3 linked regions of the Lytechinus pictus genome follow. The protein of the gene in region 1 interacts with the protein of each later gene in a biochemical or structural test. Links are inferred from orthologs where the notes say so. Each region holds a gene or a part of one and is shown in the gene's direction. Other genes may lie near its edges. The genes, in order: mutS protein homolog 4-like, mutS protein homolog 5-like and DNA mismatch repair protein Mlh3-like.

Region 1 (7,446 bases):
CTGCATGGTAACTACTTGATGACGGTTAGATAAACATGATCTAAACCATGTCACACATGCAGAGTCTAAACCCATCACTTCTAATTTCTTTAAAAGTATGTTATGATTTACAGTATCAAAGGCTTTTTGTAAGTCTAGGAGAACCATTCCAACCATGCGCCCATGTGAAATTTTGTTCCTGATAAAATCTGTTAAATGTATTAAACAAGTTTCAGTGGAATATCCGTTACGAAAGCCGGACTGAAATTTATATATTAGCTTGGTTTCTTGAAAGTATTTCTCCACTTGAGCATGAACAGATTTTTCCAAGATTTTCGACACTACACTTAATACACTTATAGGCCTATAATTACTAACGTCAGTTTTTATGTAGCAGGGTAACTTTTGCAAATTTCATATCATCAGGAAAGGTAGAAGACATAAGAGATAAATTAATAACATAATTCAAAGGTTTGTACAAATTTCTTGCCCCATCTTTTGAAAATCTTGCAGGTATCATATCTAGACCAGTACTTTTTGATATTTTCAACCTATTTAGTTAATCTAAAACAAATTTTTCTGTAACAGGGGAAAAATGAAAACTACCTTTTGAAATACCCTTTTCTTCATAAAACTTTTGAAATTGGTCACTTTCTGCATGAAATTTGTTTGTATTTATTACATTCTCCACAAAAGTGCACCAATAGGATTGGACAAACTTTCAAATTTCGACATACGAAAATTAATTAAACTCATTTGAATTCAGAAACTTTAATACTTTGAGAACACATAACAACAAACGGGCGATTTTTTACCCCAACATATTTTTCAAGAAATAGCATTGAACTTGAACACCTTTTTACATAGTTTTTACCACCCGTCAGATACGTTACCATTAGGCCTTAGACAAGAAAATCGCTGTGGATGTATCATTTGTGGACCAATAGTATCAGTAAATATTTCAAAGTAAACGTAACTAATATACACACATGATTAAAAAGTAGTTCTTGAAATTTGATTGGTCGAGATGTATCAAAATGATAGATGTTAGAAGTCTGTAAGTCAAAATCAGCGCGAAAAAAATAGTATATTTTCAGATAAAATACATAACCTAAATTGCAATTCATATCTCTACTATAATTTGATCTTATATTGCTTTGAAACATTAATAAAAATCATACATAAATACTGAAATTATTAAAGAAATTTCATTGTAAGCACACTTTACTACAGATTTCATACATTCTGAATTACAAGAAAAGAGAAAATTGGTAACGTATCTGACATACTTCCACAAAATTTCGTTTACTGTGGTTTATATCTCAAGATAACGATAAACTCAATCGTGCAATATATTTTACATCCAAACGAATTATCAACTACGAACATTCAGATTTATCATCCCGATTAAAAAACACTGCTCAGTAATGCAAAGTCATGTATTCATCTATAGCATGTATACGTGCATACATATAAACAAAATTTACGCAATAACATAATTATGTTCTGTTTGAAATGTATGAGCTAAACTTTTGATTTGAAGTGCACAATGTAGTCCATTTCCTTCTATAAACTCATTGATAAGATATCTAACACTATTAAGATGGAACAATATCATCAAATTTATTACCTGCGAGTGCAAGGCAAATATATAACTGTAATATGTCAATATGGTAACGTATCTTACAGACATCTATACTACAAAATGTTGTTACTGTGACTTATAATAGTAACATGCGTAAACTCACTCTTGCATTTGTCTTACATCAAAATGTTATATCCACCTCGAACATAATGATTATTTATGATGATCACCTTGACATAGTTCAGTAAGTAAAATTATGCATCGATAAACAAACACAGACAAAATTAACCTATATGTAAGACATAATTATAATACTGTTTCAAATATATGACCAAAGCTTTTGATTTCTAATGTGTACAGTCTATTATGTAGCTTTGTTAACTTTTAATGAAATATGTAACATCATGCAGTTTGGAAAAACATGATAAATTTGATTACATCCGAGTATTTAGACAAATATATAACTGCAACGTAGGGTAACGTATTTGACTGTTGATAATATAAACTTATAAGTAGGCCTACAATGTTATTTCACTTGGGCTATACTTGGTGTTTCGGCTCTGCTCCCAAAAAAAAGAACCTTCTTAAATTGTATAAAAGATCTCATTCTTAACAATTATTAACACTGAATAGTTATAAAAAGATTTGTATAAATTAATGTATTTCCACATGTTCTGTCATAATTTTTTTTTTTTAATTTAAAGAGAGCCAAGGAGCTATACGGTAGATAATGGTGGTAACGTAGCAGACACAACTCTCAAGTTATTAAAATGTCTTTGTAGCACATCTGATTCATCATCCACTCAAATATTTCGGTACATTAAAGCTTACACTATATTGACGGATTCTACTTTTTCATATTTTTGTACATTTAGAGAGCCAAGACAAAAAAAACTAGACTACGGAATCAAAATATTCTCCTTCCAAATATCAGTTGACAATTAACATTATGTTGCCGCTTGTACGTAATGTGACAAGTATTAAAGCAAAAAGCCGGGTAAAAAAAATGATTAGCATGATTTAAGAAGGAAAATACAAACCGGATAACAACCGACAGCAAGTAAAGAAAATATTATATTTCAAAATTTCACATTTTCAGAAAACATATTCTAATGAGCAAGTTGTTAATGTCATCCCCTCATAATTTGTCACGTTTAAATGACATTTTGGATTTTTTTTGCCAGCATTGAGGCAACCATACCCCTTTAAGATATGTCAGAACAAATATTTCAGAACAAATAGCATCTCTCATTCATTTTGTTTTTATTTGGGGTTAGTTGAATAGGAAAACTTTACTGTATCATATTTGATAAATGGATTTTTTAAAGGATTTCTGTAAATTAAATGTGGAGAAAATTGTAAGGGAATTACATCATTAACTTGCTCATAAAAAAAAATTAATAACGTCATTATTTTCCTTTTTTATCAAAATATGCCATTTTCATCATTCTTGCATCACAGGGAAAGGATTCCTTTTCTTTGTAGATTGTTCGAAAAATAGGAGGATATGGAAAGTGCATAAATACACGTAATGCTGTCCAAATATTTGTCTCCTGCAAATTCTAATATTGATCCTTTTACTTAATTTGTGCTTCTTTATATTTTTTGGCCAAATCTTCGATTAGTGTCAACTGTTCGATGGTTAACTCAGATTTTCTCTCCGACTTTCCGGATCTCAGCACGCGTTTGACCCATGTCTTTTTTTTCTCTGAAATAAACGAGAGACAGAGGAAAAATATCAGCATGGGAGTTTTATATGTACATTATTTTATAATTAATACCAAATAAATATAAAATAGTTAGTCGTCGTGTACATAAAAACATGACATTAATATCTAATAAGATACGTTACCAGTCGGGTAAGATACGTTACCGTGCCTATCTGGTAACATTATAATGTTCATGCGAGCTATCACACACACTAAACAATCGCATGCATACGTGTTAGATGTCTTAAGCCTATAACTGTTCCATCAACTTCAAATAACTCTCAAATGTATCATAATGTCAAACTGATAAATGAACTATATTCTGTTAATATTCAAAAAATGAAAATTCTTACCAACCACGTAGCTGGGATGAATAACAAACGGCGAGAAGCCTTACATCTCCCTCAGACTCTCAGCACGTAACGCTCAATGCTTTGAAGGGTGGAGAAGCACTAAAAGCGTGTGCAAAATTAGAGAATGCGCGAATGGGCCTATCAACGCGCAATGCGGTAACGTATATGACGGCCTTTAGGATCAACCTTGTGTTTTCACAAAATAACAGCCTATTCTTTCGTAACTCCCATGTATTACCATAAGCAATGTAGAGTGCTCTAAAACAAAATACATTATAACTTTGTTAACCAAGTTATTTTTCTGTAATAGAGCAAAGTTTCAGTAACGTATCTTATTTTACCTTATAATGGTAACATACACAATTGAAAACTTTGTGTCTGAAGATATTCATTATTATAGAGATTCAGTATACACTATTTGTATTTATATAGTCTTTAAATGGACTTCAATCACTACACCGAAATACAGATCACTGCATTATTGTCTTCGTTCTTTTTAGGGCGTCATACAAAAAGTAACGTATCTTATCCCGATTTGGAGACACCTTCGCTAAGACCGCAGGAAAAAATATACAAAAGTTTTTTCGCCAAGCAATATGCTTTTTTATTTAGGCACCGAAGGCACTATAAATTAGTGGACAAAACATGAAGTTCGGATATTACGGTAAAGAGCGGGAGTATGAAATATAATCACACAGGTCGCTGGAGACATGGGTATAATGAGCATATATATATTTTGTGGTGTCGTATATAATTTTTTCATGAGGTGGGGTGACCTCAGTTGATTTTAATTTTACTCAACATATTCTGTAGTATAAATAAAAGTCAAAAAATTGGTTTCCTGATGAATTAAATTATGGTTTATAGCCTAGACAAGGTTGGAGACACGAAAATATCCTTTGGTGCCCCTTTTCGGAGAATGGCCCATTTACTGGTAATTTACAAACTAGCTTGTCGGCCACAGTCGTAAAATAACGATTAAACTCATTTGCAATTTTAGCCTTATCATGACTTAATTCACCTTGCACATTAATAACCGTTTTTTCATCAGATTTCCCTTTACTTTTTAGACCTAAACCTTTCAAATTCTTCCACAATTTTCTAGAGTCATGTTTGTTTTCTTCGATTCGTTGTTGAAAATATTCGTTTTTGGCACTTCTTACCTTCCTTTGAACTAAATTCCTTAAAACTTTATATTTTCTTTCAATGTCTAAATTGCCAATGTTCCTTTTTTAATATTTTTGTAAGCTACATTTCTCTCTTTAATTAAAACAATAATTTCATGGTTCATCCATTTTTCAGTTGATTGCTTAATTCTTACCTCTTTCAGAGGTGCGCTCATATCTATAATTGATAAGAATATAGATTTAGAATTTGCCCAAGCCATATTTACATCGTTACATTCAGTTACCTTGGACCAGTCTGATCGGGATAACTTTAAAGTGAAATTATCTACATTAAAACCTTTTAATCTCCTGATGGATACAGTTCTGTGGTGCCCAAATATGGGCCTAACAATCTTTCTTGAACAATAAATTAATAAATGATCACTTATACCTAGGTCAATAACACCACTTTGACTAATATGCTCTACTTTACTACATAATATGTGATCTATCAGGGAGGAAGATGTCTGAGTTGTACGTGTGGGCAGCTTTACAAGTTGGCTTAAACCACTTAGATTAAGTATATTCTCATATTTCTGGGATAAAGGAGACTTTCGAAAGGCAAATATTCATGTCCCCTAAGACTATAATCTCATCATCTTTTCTAAATTTTTTAAGTGTCAGAGAGTGATTCAATGAAATTATTATCTTTAGGGGGTCTGTAAAGAGCACCCAGTGTAATGGGCTTTAATTTGTCAGAGGCAATAGAATATCGATCCACAATGATTCAATATTTCTTGAAGTCAAGTCTTCTCTTATATTAAATGCAATGTCGTTTCTTATGTAGAGACAAACACCACCACCTAGCCCACATTCACAATCGTTACGTAATATACAGTATCCATCTATACATACTTCTTCATCATTTACAGATGAGTTTAACCATGTTTCAGTGATGGCAATAATAGCTATTTTACGTTTAGAAAAAAGAAGCTGAAGTTCAGATATTTTATTCAATATTGATCTCATGTTTAAATGAATGAAATGCAACCCTTTTGTCTCAAACTTTTCTTCAAAGGACTTATACACTGTTGTTTTATCGGAAGGTGGGGTATTATTTACATGTTCAGTGGGAGGCAAAAGTGGTTCGTTATGACCAACATTTGTTTGAATGGGGTGCAAGAATAAGGAATCACAAAAAGGCGGTAAAGAGCATGTTAAACAAGTCCAACATTCATTAGGGTTGTAATATAATCTTGTGTACTCCTGTTCACTTATGCCTTCACATCTGGAATGGTGCCACTTATTACAAGTAGAACACCGGAGGCCAGTTTGGTTTTTCTTCACAGGCTTTTGACATTTTCTACATGGAAATTTATAATTTGGACCAGGATTTGTTTCCACATCCCCAGATAATAACAAAAGATAAGAAAAATGGTTACTAGGTGGACATAATTCGGCTTGAAAGGTTGCTACAGAGTTATGATAGTACAAAATAGGCGAACGGAAATATTTTAAACGCTTTATCGCTGGAAGACTAACATACTGAGAAATTGTGTTGACATTATGAGAACATATTATAGAAATTAAAAGATAAAGTACTAATACATTCATCTCAGTGTAGTCCCACACCAACAAACAGTGTTTAACAAAAGAAACAAAATACAAAGACAATTAAACGTGGATAAAAAGAAACTCGAATAAAGACGTAAACTTAACTACGATGCTACAAACTACAATACTGCATAAAAGTTCATAATATTCAGTCATAGAGTCCCTCAGTGTCGTCTACTTCAGCCTCGATCCTATGGGGCTCACATGAGTATTACAGACCCCCATTCACTCACGTGTTAAATCATAGCTCATCAAAAAATCATCAAAAATCAATCCTTCGATAGATTTTGCTTTAATTCACTGACATTAGTCACAATTAACAGTACATTAAGACTTGATATGTCAATCGGGTACTTGTCCAGCTCAATCAAAAGTTAAATGGCCTGAAATAAGACTAACCATAATTTCGGCCAACTGGGCGTTGTGGCGTGCGCCTGTAATCCAAGCTGTGGGGAAGTTACAAATTGATGCAGAGGTTCGAGCCCTGGTCACGTCTTTCGGATGGTGACGTTAAAGGTCGGTCCCAGACGTAAATAATCATATCTGATTGATACACGTCTGACAAAACTCAAATACACACACACACACACACAGTTCATTGCCAGAAAAACCCGAACTGCATTGTGGGTAATGATAATACAAAAATGCAGTCTAGCCTCCCCAAAGGCTTTAATTATGAAAGAGTATGAACATGACATTGTTTTTATCATTTATATTTTGATATTCCAACATTTTGTCTATTTTTAATGAATTATTTTAATCAATAAAGTCATGTGATCTTTACTTACGCCTGTCCGGCATGCTTTGCGTGCGGTTGAATTACTCTCATGTGCCCTATGGCACCCCTGGCAGCCAGACTTCTCCCCTCCAGCTTTCATCTGTCCTGCTCCTCTTAGATTCTCCTCCACGAGACTGGATATGGATCAGCTCCATGACAACAATGAGACAGCAGCAGATATAAAGAAAATTCCAATATTAAAAAATGTCATGGATATAATGGGACAATACGAAGACTGTTCTGAAGTGAGACTAGTAGTGATTGATGGACAGAGCCCTGACCGGCTGACAGATTGTTGACAGGTGGCAGCAATAAAAGAGAG
Region 2 (6,978 bases), on another chromosome or scaffold:
TACAAATTTACTTGAAAAGCTGTTGTGTATTTTAGGTAATTTGACTCTTCTAAACTTCAGAAATATATAAAGTGGTATGTTGTTGCAATAACAAAATGGTAATGAGGCATATTTCATTTTTCACTATTTTTCTTGTATTTTGGTACAGAATGGAAGACACATCTTTTGACCATTTTTTTCCAAAGTATACATATGAAAATAAACTTTTTATTTCTTGTTCCTGAAACTATCAAGCATGAAGGACTTAAAGTATTAAAAAATTCAAGAAAATATTGAATTTGAATTTTTAAGCTCATGTCCATCAACCTGTGGAATTGCCCAAATGCATAAATTGATCAGTATAGGTTTGAGCCAAATTGGAAATACCTTTCATTCTGTATCCCCTCATTTTGTCTGTCTCTGATATGGGCCGCAACAGCTGACAGAAATGACCCACAGACAAATTACCTCCTAATTGAAGGGTGGAAACTCTTGGAAATTGATCACATTTCTCTTAATTTTGGCCACTTCTGTTGTACCATATTTGAGCACAGGGGGTAATTTTTATAGCCCATTTTTACTTGATTGACATGTGCAGTTTTATTTCATGAAAAGTTACCTTCATTAATATTCAGTAACCTTTGTTTATTTTCAGTGAACTGATGGTATCTCACTCTATACCTATTAAAGCCAGATCAGAATATGGAGAAATCTCAGTTTGAAAATTGGACTGAAAAATAGGGTTTTGACAGTTAATGATATTAGCAATAAATTGTTTAATCAGTGATGCATTCATGGATGATTAATTTAACTAGGGTTGCCACCTCCAAGCTAAATGCTGAGTGCCAAGCTAGAAGGCAGAAGAATCTATTTTTAAAAGTCTGTGGGATGACACGGCCAGAGATAGAACCTATGACCCTCCTTTAATGAGGCAGGTGATCTGCCACTGAGCCACCAAGCCCATACACCATCCCATTATGTTTTTTGTGTTTTTTTGGACTGTCCGTATTTGACTTTGAAACCAGTCATAGTTTTTAGAACTAGACATTGCATTAAGCTTTTTGACTTCAAGGCCTCTCCCCTTCCTTCTGGTTCCACCCCAATATCATCCATGAACTTGTAAGGGCCTCCAAGGAAAACAGTATGCCAATTACTGATGGAGTCACCCTACTAAAAGAGACTTATAAATAAATAAACTTTCGACATTCACTACTGTCTTTATGTATAAATTAAGCCCTTTTAAAAAGTGGTATTTACCCGGAAAGAAAGGCTAAGCTTGTACAGTGACCACCAAAACCTTGAGATCACTCTTTAAGAACTTCCCATCCTGTAGTATTGTGTCAATCCAAATCACAGGAAGCATTTCTCTGTAGAATGGTGTAATTTAATGAAATCTTTACACGCAAACGTCAGTCTGACATTCCTGCCAGTGAAATTGATACAAAGTGATTTGTAGAGCGAAAATGTCATCATGGAGAGAGAAAAGGATAAAATTGAATAAGATCTCTATGTTTTATATGCAGTCAACACTAGGAAAGTGATTTTAAATTTAGGGGTTAACTTTTTAATCTAGTATCCTATTGTGCTTGAGATAAGTTATATAAGAATGAAGAAATAAAGATGATATCTATTAAAGCTTTTCTGTCTTATACTTTCAGAAATTGTTATTCAAAGCACCCACATGCAACCCCCTATTAAAATGTAATTCAAGCAATTATCTACAGATATAATAAACTCATAAGAGATGCCAAAGAATCGTGGTCTACACCATGAATTTATGCAAATGATATAGCAAAGAGGTATCAGCCAAGCAGCCAATCAAAACTATTGGTGCATGCCCAGGTTGTGACAAAGGGTTATTTTGGACCAATCAGGTTTCACTTTGCATTTGTGGTGTCCTGATGTGAGAGACATGATACAGAAGACAAGGCAGTAGGGAAGTAACAACATGCAAAAAAGAAAAAGAAAAACTCAAAAACAATCCAAATGATGCATGGGAGATAGAAATATTCCTAAGGGGACCAGGGAAGAAGCATATTCATTCAATTAATATTGACTATTCGATCAAGTTCTCTGCCGTAAGATGTCACAATCTAATTGGAGATAACACGCAAATGTCGGCATTGGCCGCGGAAAAGGAGTAGGTTTGTAAAACTTTTTTTGGCAAAGCACTCGGTCTTGGGAACTGTGAGCAGCTGGTCTCACTAAGACAGAAGAGATTAAAAGAGGAAGATCTGATTTTCCTCTTCCTTTGTCGCTGCTAAGATTGAATGGAGATAGATGAAATTGGAAGAAGCAGGAGAGAGAGGCAATGAAGTAATGGATGGGAGGAGAGAGAGAGATGGGGATAGATGGAGAGAGAGAGGGTGAATAGATATATATATAGAGAAAATGAGAGAGAGAGAGAAAGACAGAGAGAGAGTGATGAACAGATATAAAGAGAGGCAAAAGGAGAGAGAGAGAGAGAGAGAGAGAATGGTGGGGTTGGTGAAGAAAGAAGAGCTGATGGTATGTAAACACAAAAGGACTGAGTGTAAATGTTGAGTGCAAAAAGTACATGTAATTATAAAGAAGAAAAGGCAGCTATGTGCAATGAAATCAAGATTTGAATACACATTATTGTACTTTTTAAAATAACTTTTTAAGTGTTCCATTTGGAAGCTTATAATCAAACCACATACCTTAAAACAGTGATTAAATAGTATCTCGCCCCCCAGAAAAAAAAATAGGTGGAGTAGGCTGTATTTTTTAAAGGAGAGCCATATGCCCTCAAATTTGTGCAACCATCAATTAGGCACAAATTTATCAGGCAATGCACTTGAAGTATCTGACCTTAAATGTTTCTTTTGCTCTTGTTCATAAAAATTACTAATTAATTGATAATTTATCTTTATATTTTGTATACTCTAGAAGATTTCTTGTATCTGATATGACTAAGACATACCAAAAATTAAGCGGTAGAAAAAATCTGACATCATTGTCTGCAAATTTCCAAGGTGAAAGTGAAGAATAATTGATTTAATTACAAAATGCAGAAAAAACAAGCAAAAATCTGTAAAGTTGGTAAGCAATTTATAGTCTGATTGACAGTGCAATCCTATTGATTCATCCCTGCGTATAGATGATATCCCGTCGACTGACGTTCGTTTTAGTTCGTAAAAGGATGAGGTCTCTCGATAGATCCCGTCGAGCGATTAGCGCCCTGTGGTTTCCATCGTGCCGAACAAGGATACATCTAATTTTGCGTGACTTGCCAAGAATTACTGGCGGCTTGTCAACCTGTTCGAAGCAAGGACAGGAGAATTAATGATTTTATGCTGGTTATTCCCTTTCCTTCCAAACAAGATCCTACCATTTTGTGTAGGGTGTCGGGATGTAATAGGGAATGTGGTGTTAAAACAAGTTAATTAATGTAAGTCATATTAATCAGTTATGAAAAGTAAATGTAATGATACCATATGAACACTACCAGCTTGTTTTTCACGTACTAATATTACTTAGATTGGAAATAATCATTATTGAATAGATTATTTATATTGCGCACATTTCCACCTTGTTAGGAGCCGAAGCTGGAGTCAAGGCAAAGCAAGGCTACTGATTTTGGTACTCACTGCCTTTTGAGGAATTCCTTCCTGCCAGTAATCATTTACCTCACCTGTGTCATTGCCTATTGATTTCAAGGATTGTATCAAAGATGAATGAAATCAATGTGGTTCATTCACTTTATTCAAAGGTACTCCTTGATTTAAAGGAATATAAGTTTTTTTTCACATTCATAATTTGACTTAGTACGATGTCAAAAAATAGTAGTGATAACAAATTTTAATGTGGACTTCAAACATTGATTTGGAGGTTAATTAAAGTAATCTCTTTTCTTATCATCCCTCATTTTATTATCTTTGTAGATCCGTGCTACAGGAGGACTTCTTAAATTCCTGGAGAAGAAGAGGATCGGCGTGGAGTTGGAACAATCTGGTGTGAATAGTCCAGTTCTCAACATCAAATCATTCTCACTGTAAGTTTCAAAAGAGAGATTAATGATGATAACATACTGGCTCGTATTCTGAACTTGGGTTTAATTTTACCTTTGATCTAAACTTGTGGTTTAACTATGGAAAGCCAATTTTGACACAAATCTTCGAGAGTCCAGGGCTCCGTTGCATAAAAGTTACCATTATGGTAACTTTCCATCCAATTGTAACTTGCATGGAATCCTTGATTGTGATTGGCTGTTGATCGGCGTTACCATATGGTAGTTACCATTGGCTGGCACAGTGGCGTACCTAGGATTTTTCACAGGGGGGGCAAAATTGGCCGCCCAAAAATTTGACAAGCAAAAAAAAAAAAAAAAAAAAAAAAAAAAAAAAAAGGGGTCATCAATACAAAATAAAGATTTTCGTACCAGAAAAAATTTGACAAGCAAAAAAAAAAATTAATAAAAAAAAAAAAAAAAAAAAGGGGTCATCAATACAAAATAATTTTTCGTACCAGAAAAAATTTGACAAGCAAAAAAAAAAAAAAAAAAAAAAAAAAAAAAAGGTCTTCAAAATCTCGTCAGGGGGGGCAGAGTGCCCCCCCGTAGGTACGCTAGTGGGCTGGCAACATTACCATAATAGTAACTTTTATGCAATCTTTCAGCACTTTTGACACTCAAATCATTCATAACTGTCTGTGAATGATTATTTTGATAGCTTTCCTCACCCTCAAAGCATGAAGAAAGAACATCGTGAGCATAGGAAACATACAATGCAAACTAATTGTAAACGTTATTTTCAGCTTTCCAAAGTCTCAGCACAGAAGTTAGACCATGGACTAATTAAAACTGGACATCAGAATACAGGCCCTGGTCACTGGGCTGTAAAAATCTTGTAACTTGAAATTTTCAATTCTAAGAACAGCATAGAAAAAGCTTGATTTAAGAGTTCTGACCTAAGTGAAGTAGCAACCTTCTCTTTGCTAGAAAGAGCTCTCTACAGGAATTTTTTTAGACTTCATTCTTTCAGACAATGAGTTTGCCCCATTGTCATATTTCTGAAATTCAATCTTTTTTAACCTGCCTTCATTAAAAAAATGTGAAACAGGGTTTCCAAACCCAGTGATAGAATTTATCAAATATTCATTGACTATTTAAGGTTATGCTGTAACATCTGCCATAGCCATGATGGGGGTATTTCATGAAGCTTTTGCCTGTGATATTTACTAACAACTGTTATAAGCTACCAAAAAGCCTTTATCTGATTGGCTGAAAGCAAATTTGTCTGGAAATCACTAGTAAGGTGCTTCATGAAACCTCTCCGAATCTCAACAAACATAGCAGCACAACTGGTACAGCTACTGTAATCATGATAATGTGATATGATGTAACATGAAAAAACATGCTTTTTAATTAAATCAATCATGAAAATTTACCTGTTTTGGGTAAACTTTCAGTGATCTATGGAACTGTATACATTAACACATATATATAGATAAAAATTATGGAAATAAGCCATGACTAAGAAAGATAGTAAATACAGAGAAATGGTGGAATGGGAAACAAGGGGGGGGGGGTCACATGCACTTTTAAAGATAAGTTGAAATAGAGTTGAAGAGCAAATATGGGAGTAATGAATTAATGGAGAATTAATTTCACAACCATTGTTTCCTTCATTTTGAACCCCAATATTTAGGAAATTGAGTCAAAACCAACTCCTGAAATTGATAACTATTCAATGTTTTTATTTTTTTGCAACTTCCAATTTTCAAAAAGCCTTGAACTACTCAACCTCAACATAGTCGAGTGAAATAGATTCACTTTGTAATGCTAATCCATATTCATACTTGGAGTCACTTGTGTTACAAACATTTGGAATTTGAATCCTAAATATTTAGTATTTTATTTTTGTACTTGTACTATCTAGTGGGTGTTTCATAAAGCTGTTCGTAGGATAAGAGCGACTTTAAGAACGACTGGTGATCCTTTCTTGTGGTAAATGGTATACTCCATTGGCGATGGTTTAGCATGTAAGAATGGTTCACCAGTTCTTCTTAAAGTCGCTCTTAACTTACGAACAGCTTTATGAAATGGCCCCCTGGTCATAAATGAACTTAAGTCTTGAAAGCATTTTACAGTCAATTTGTTTTACTTGAATAAATTAAATTATAGCAAACAAAGTGTAATTATTACTTGCCATTTTAAAGTTTTTCTAAGTTTTCAGAAAGAGTAGTTCTCATGGCATTATTTTACAAATTTCAGATTTTTCATAAAGTTTTATAATCAAATCAGAAATGCACTAAAATCTTGAATAATCAAGCAAATGATCTAAATATCCACATTTGATTTTATTATCAGGTTGGAACCATTGGATTATATTTGAGTTGCGTTTGATCACAAATAATTAAGTGATATATGCATTGAGCTTTGTGAGAGAATGAAACAGGGTGACAAATTGATAAAGAGGATGTATTGAAAAGGATGCATTGCAGTTTAGAGCTATAGAAATATATAAAAATGAAGAATAAAATCTGGTGATGATCAGATGGTTGCGTGCTATTTACTTATTCCACCAAGTTCAACTGTTTTTAGAGCAAGGATTGTTTCTAATTATCTCTAGAGCATTGTGACATGCAGTTTATGACAGTTCATCATCCTGTCATCTTTCAAAATCTGTCTTCTTTTTTTTGGTCGAAATCCCAGAGTAGAAAGTTATTTCTGACTCGCAGAACTTCCGCATCATTCTTGACCACCAACAAAGTTTCCTTCCAGTTCTATAGGAACTAGTGAGTCAGGGACGTCCATGAAATTTTCATTATAATCATATGGACATAAATAGATGTGATGGCAACATCAACAATAACAACAGCAAATTAATGTGGTAGAAGTAGTAGATTTTGTAGTAGAATTAGGAGGAAGATGAGAATTAGAAAGAGGGAGAGGAGACGGAGGAGAAGAAGAAGGTGAAGGAGGAGGGGATCAAGACGAACTAGGAGGAGGAGGAGGGAGGAGAAGAAGAAATATGA
Region 3 (7,067 bases), on another chromosome or scaffold:
TTGTTCTCAGAATACTAATTCGGAGAGATTTTAAGGGTATTTTATCTCACTGATTTTAACGGAGATAAAATATTTTATTTTATCTGAGATAAAATGGATCTCAGAATACCACCCCTGAAACTTATATTTGTAAAGTTTTAAATATCAAAGTATGTTTTTATATGTATATATATTCCTCAACATATTTTTTAAGTTATCTTTGATATTGTTGTAGTCATATTCTTTCATATTCGTTTTTTGATCGCTACTAATTTGTTGTTGTATTGGATCGGCATTTGATTTCGTTGGCATGAACAATAAAATACGCGCGCAGCTCAGCTGCATGCGCGTATCGAGTTGACCTTAGAGCATAGAGATGTATACTAACTACGCTAGAGTGCGGAGTCACCATAGGCGCGCGTACTTAACGTCTGTGATTGCGCGGAGCATGATCGGCAATTGCTTGATAGGTATAGATTCGCAAAAGTACCTGGATGTACCCATAGACCGTACGTTGTAACGCTGTGGAAGGGGATGCTGTCTCCGGCTTTTATCTTGAAGAAAAAAAATCAAACCTAATTACAATTGAAAATATGAATGACAAATTGCATCTCAATAAATTATTATTGTGATTACATGGGGATTATGCTATTAATTTGTCTTTTTTTATCTGGATTCTCGGGATGAAATTCTCTATACAGTGTATTTACCTGCCACATGCCTAGATAATAATAAAATAACAATATTGATAATATGACATAAATAAGTAGAAAAAAATCAAACATACATTAAAAGTAAATTTTGACAATCATTTCAAAAGACAGAATTAGCCCATCTTCTCTGGACTTCCCTATCTTTGATACATCATCCTTTGGCACATTCCTTCGTCCACATGACTGTTCTCATGACCAATGATGGATATAATTTTGTAATTTTGATTCATTTCAACTCTATTCGTTTCACTTCACTTCAATTTTTTTTTCATTTTCATTCAAACATAATACAAAGTACAGGGGGCTCGACTGGGCCCCTCCCTGACAGGTATCATTTTGATCACTCAACAGCCGGCAATAATTGTGATATCTTATTCCAAGTATTTGTCAGTTTTACAATAGGCCTATCATTGCTTAATGTTTGATTTTTGTAGGCCTACTCACAATTTTGCAAAACTTTTTTATTTTAAGTAATAATATTCCTTGTAGTATAGTACAAATTAAAATTATATCCCACTCCCGCCCTGTTTCTTCTCCTCTCCTCCTTCTTCCTAGCTCTCCTTATTATTCGATCCTTGATTTGTTCACATAATTTGTCCAATCCCCGGGGGGGCCACTTCCATTCACGAGTGGATACCATGCGCGACCATGGGGTCTCAAAAAGCACCCTAAACACGTAATTTCCATAATCTGAAAATGCACCCCTTAACAAGTATTGGCGTGTGAATCCCTACCCTTAACAAGTATTGGAAACAAAACGAGATCATGGCAAATATTCCCTGAAATGAACCCCTAAACAAGTACAGGAATGTTTTATTGTTACGGGTCCTTCGGTCGTCGGCTTTACCTTATTTGGTTTAGTACGACCCCACCTTCTACACCTCGCGCAAATCGGACTCTAAACACGAAGTGTTGGGGCAAAAAGGACATCCTTTATAAAACATTTTAATTTTGTTTTATCATCCCCGCAAATTCGACCCTAAACACGTAATTGTCCTAGCGAAATAGATACCCTTTTTTCATTATTATTGCGTTTTTGACACCCTTATCACGTTACGTACGTAACGTGCCCTATCGTGAAAAAGACATCCTTTTTACGTGTTTTTTTGGTCGCGCATGGTATCCACTCGTCAATGTAAGTGGCCCCCCCGGGGTCCAATCAAAGGATCATAAACACCAGCGATATGTTAACAGAGTCAGCCGATCAGTATATTACTTCAGCCGGGGGGGGGGGGGATCAAGGCTAGATTTTCCAGAAAATCAAAGTGAAACTCTTTTATGTTGCGACACGCATTGCAATTTGTTTATTAGTGCCAGTCACGCTGAATGTGGGCTATCCACCGTATTTTATTGTATATAATTGTGCTTTTAATACGGAAATAAATACTACTACTACTACTATCATGTTATTTGCAAGGCAATACTGTAAACATAATTTCCCCCATTAGGCCTCCAGACCTGTACATTACAAAATTGTACAACGCGCGTTTTTGATATGCAAATTTTGCTGTCAACAAACTTTCTACATTGATTTGCACATAAATGATCGGATGGTTGCCAATATTGGAAATCTAAATCATATTACTTATAGATTCATCAATTAATTGGACCAATGCGTAAATCATTTTCAAATATCAATAAAAAGTCATTTTTATGACTCACGAGTTATTGTGATGACGGTTACATCGACGTTTAAACCCATGGGGAAAAGGGGCTATGCCCTATTATGATGTCTATGTGTCTGTCTAGTATATGGAAAAAATATAACAATTATTTTTAAAAAAATGAAGAAATAAATTATCAGCATCATGGTTATGCATAGGCCTACACATGTTATTTTTAATATTCATCCCTTCCAAATCATTAGAAAATAAAAGTCATAAAAATAAATGTAGCGACCTATCAAAATGTTTAATATGACCAAAGCAAAAACAATTGGGGATGTATCATTGGCCTGTATATTCGCTATTGATATTCCTATATAGGCATATTTTTGTTCTCGTTTTGTTAGATTTTTTGTTGATTTAAACTTTAATTAATTATATTCAAAACTATTTAACTTTTCCATTTGCTTTCGCGCTCATATGTCATCATTTTGTTCCGTTTCTGTGCTATCACTGTACATGCCCCATAGGTACTGTACGCGCATGGCAGGCTACGAATACCTATCGAGTAATGGCGGCCGGTCTCCGCGTAATCACAGCGATTTGACGAAGTACGCCCTCTAGCGTTATTAGTATATATCTCTATGCCTTAGAGCAACACGCTTGTGTGTTGCTGCCCTCTACGTTCGTTGGTTCGAATGCAAGATGGAATTTCAGGGAAGCACATTCATGAAACTTGGAAAAAAAATTGACAAACATTAAAAAACACAAATAAGGTAATTTCACCAGGATGATGATATTTGAAATTTAGAAAAGACACCCTTGCCATAAAATAGACAGGCTTATATGTATAATAATTGTAATAATAATTATATATATAATTATATATATATATTCTCAGAAATGAATAAATGCAAAATGTGGATTTGTTTGCCAATTTAAAATGATGTTGCTGCCTGATCAGCTAGGGCCTTTTGCTCGAAATAGTGTACCCATTTTATCTAGCCCATCTAAGAGTCTGTTTCAAACACATTGACAGATACATTCTGCAACCCAGAATAATCTGCCTACATTGAGGTGTTCCGAGTTCATTTTAACTATTTTTACTCCTATTCTATAGAAAACTGGTCAAGATTCCAAGTACACTTTTTTGTCTTCCGTTGAGTAGAATTCTCTTTGCATAATATGGAGAATATGGAGAATATAAGACCACTCATTTTTCACAATTTCACAATCAAGTTTTTTTTTCTTCAAAATCACAAAATTGCAGACAAGAACCAGGAAAAGCATAACATCTATTTAGTAGGCTTACGAGCTCAAAACACTCACTTTCCATTTCAGGTACAATATGAAAAGAGACGTTTAATACTAATTAATTAATTTCATTTCATAAAGCTTTCTCAACGATCTGGTGTTTTTTTCATACACAATGTCAAATGCACTCTTTTTTTTTTTTTTTTTTTTTTTTTACAAGTGCACATCTAGTTTCCAATAATGCATATAGCATTTCCATTTATTTGAAAGCAGGATAAAAGAGCATTGTAGGTTATATGCCTTGCTCACGGGCACAGGTGCCGCGGCCGGGGATCGAACCCCGGACTTTCCATGTATAGCCAGGCGCCTTAGACCACTTGGCCACGGCACCTCAACTCTTTTCTGCCCCCCTTTTTTTTACCTTGCGCCCTCTACAGCGCAGAGCAGAAAATTCGCGAATTTCAAAGTTTGGAAAGAAAGCCGAGGTGAGTGAGATGGGTTGCTTCATTTTGTTTCGCTGTTTTAAATGTGATGTTTTGTCCGTTTCGTGTAATTTTATCAATTATGAAGATGAAAATGGAGTTATCGAGTGTTCAATGTAAGATCTAGATCAAGACCACGTTCAGGTGCGTCCAGTGCAGTGTGCGTCTTTTCTTAATCTTATTTAGTTAGGCCCCCGTCCCCCACGTACTGAAAATAGTGTTGGTAAAATTTAAATTGTTAAGGACTAACGTTAGATCTAACATTACAGGGCGTCCCACTAGTAAAAGGAAACCCGTCTTCAGATATAAATTTCACAATTATCAAATATGTTTTTACTAGTATAAATTTGACACTTATCATTATGATATGGTAACCATAAAGAGTGGAATCTCTTAAATTTGAGACAAAAAGCTCAGCAAATATTTCACGTGTGGGCGTGGCCACTCCTAGTACCAATGAGGTCCAACATTACATGTATGGACCTCATAGGCGACATCAGTAGTATTTTTGGTTAGAAATCTCTGAGAACATGATATTTAAACATTATATCACAAGTACAAGCTATAATTCCTTTCTCTTATTTAAATTATAATTTTATAGTGTAAATGCATCGTTAGCAACAACAAAAAATGAAAGAAATGAAGGGGAACTTACATTTTCACGGCTTTTTCCTGATTTTCTGGGCAGCTGCTCTTCTCTTCTGACTCGCGATCGAAGCTGATATGAAGATCACGTGATTCGCGTTCTCGTCAGCTGATCGGTTGGTTATTCTTTTCGTCAGACGTTAATAATATATATTTTATAATGCTAGCATTCATCGCTAATTTAGGTGAAAGAGATTGAAGTTAAACAGCGCCAGGTCGGAATCATAATTATTTTGGAAGAGTGTATTTATACACTCGATCTCATACCTGACGTAGACGGCGCTATTCAACAAATGCACAATCTTCAATATAAAAAATAAAACAGAAAGAACGCCTTGAACACAGGCCAAAATGCCTAACGATTTCTCCGCGGCATTAACAACTATCGTAAAGGGCGCTCCATTTATCAATAAAGATGGACGCTAAGCTGTCTATGGCGACAAAATTTGCCGCAAATATTTACGAAGAATTGTGAGAAATGGTCTGAAAATGCAACAAAAGAACCGGTGAGTACCGATTAAACATTATTAAATTTGTAAATAGATTATACATACCTTGTAGATTTAGTTTTTAAGGTGATATTAGTGCTTAGTTCTAAGCTAGGGAGGCCCAAACGCGCGTAAGTGGAGTCCCAGTTTATTAGCACGGGTAAGTATTGGGGTGTCGCCTAGAGTGGGCGTGGCACTTAGCCTTGAGGACTTTGTGATGATATTTTTAAATATTTTGACATATACTTATTCATCAAGAAGCCTTGAAACCCTTGCCATAGGTACGTAAGCGAGACTTGTCAACAAATATGGATTTCCCTAGGAAATCCATCTCATCTTTGAAGATAGAAATCACGTAAATTTGTCTGATTTTATTTATCTATACACCTTCATGTGCCTATAATTATAAATGCGTATGAAGGTGCAAAAAAACACTTAGTAAAAATGTGAAAAATGAGAGGTTTCTTACCAGAACATTCTCGTGTAGATCCCTCGATCCATTTGTAAACACCGCACATACAATAGGCTTGACACTTGAACTGCTTCGTTATGACGTAGCTTCGATAAGCGATGTTACAAAATGCCGTTTTGAAGAACAATTTATAGATAAAAATTATTCTTTAACAAATAATAAATTTAAAACCTATAAATAATCATTATTGCAATAATAATTCTTTATAATATAATCAAGTTTCAAATTTTATTATTTGTTAAAATAAAAGGGAAAATTTGTGCAACTATTGTATTTCAATACTGTACAAAAAATTCTTGGCTGCTAGCATTCGCATGTGCGCATCTGGACAATAGCGGAGATCTTGTCTTGCCCCCTTTTTGATCCCATGATCCTTTGTGATAAAGGATAAAGAATATTTGGATAGATTTTATATCTGAAAGTTTTTGTAAATATTCTAAAGATCATCAATCAAGAAGAAAATGGTGAAAAACTCACTAAAACATGTAAAATGAAAATTCTGCTGTCTTTTATTTTGAATTCACCTCTTGAATTGGCCCATGGGTTTGGAAGGGGTCCTACATGTATTTCTACATACACAATTTTCCATTCAGAGAAATGTTGTTAAACTGCATTTCCTGTGTACAAATTTTTAATATCTATTATTTTCTTGCAAGAAAATGTGATATATGATAATTAAGAGAATAGAATTCCAAAGCTGCAATAATTTGATGGTTCTATATATGATTTTTGCAAATTATTGCATAGCCTTTGTGGAGTTTTGAATAGGAATAATTTGTCACACTGCAGTCACAGTCCCATACACAGAATCCACATTTTGCCATTGAAATTGAATGTTCAATAAGTGGTGTGTAGCTTTAGGACCCCTTACCTTACAAATGTTTTATTAAGCCTTTGGCTGTGAAATATGTTTTTAATAAACCATTTTTGAATTGGATGGAATTAAACATTTTGTAGATGTCTCTGATGTCGGTTTGTTGCCAAATGTCTTATTTGGTCTATTTTTTCTTTTGGTTTTATTGTTTTTTTTTTTGTTTTTTTTTTTTCATTTTTAATTTGTTACAGAATTTTCATGATGTCTCTTGATCAAATTGCTTCAATCCAGTTCCTGTCTCAAGATGTACAAAATCAACTAAGATCTGGCGTTGCCACACCATCAGTTGTCCAATGTGTAGAGGAATTGGTTGTGAATAGTATTGACGCTGAAGCTTCTTGCATCGCTGTTCGTGTGCATCTACCTGACTGTCAAATTCAGGTCGTAGACAATGGAAGGGGGATGACTAAAGATGATATGCTCTGTGTGGGTGAGAGATATGCTACAAGCAAATGCCATAACACAAAAGACCTTGAAGATATATCCCATTATGGATACAGAGGAGAAGCTCTTGCAAGTATAAAGGAAATTTCTTCAGTGTTGGAGATCACTTCAC

What was found.
Region 2: the proteins of mutS protein homolog 4-like (region 1) and mutS protein homolog 5-like form a complex in vitro, tested with the Homo sapiens proteins (2 studies listed by BioGRID). The link is inferred for Lytechinus pictus from reciprocal best matches to the Homo sapiens genes MSH4 and MSH5.
Region 3: the proteins of mutS protein homolog 4-like (region 1) and DNA mismatch repair protein Mlh3-like form a complex in vitro, tested with the Homo sapiens proteins (2 studies listed by BioGRID). The link is inferred for Lytechinus pictus from reciprocal best matches to the Homo sapiens genes MSH4 and MLH3.

What each region holds. Positions count from the first base shown.
Region 1 is NC_087247.1:56,176,591-56,184,036, forward strand, and holds the start of mutS protein homolog 4-like, read left to right. Parts: upstream 1-4,336; coding exon 4,337-4,340; intron 4,341-7,446. UniProt on the Homo sapiens protein: Involved in meiotic recombination. Required for reciprocal recombination and proper segregation of homologous chromosomes at meiosis.
Region 2 is NC_087255.1:21,164,538-21,171,515, forward strand, and holds the start of mutS protein homolog 5-like, read left to right. Parts: upstream 1-3,879; 5' UTR 3,880-3,994; intron 3,995-6,978.
Region 3 is NC_087251.1:23,400,681-23,407,747, reverse strand, and holds the start of DNA mismatch repair protein Mlh3-like, read left to right. Parts: upstream 1-3,994; 5' UTR 3,995-4,035; intron 4,036-6,702; 5' UTR 6,703-6,709; coding exon 6,710-7,067. UniProt on the Homo sapiens protein: Probably involved in the repair of mismatches in DNA.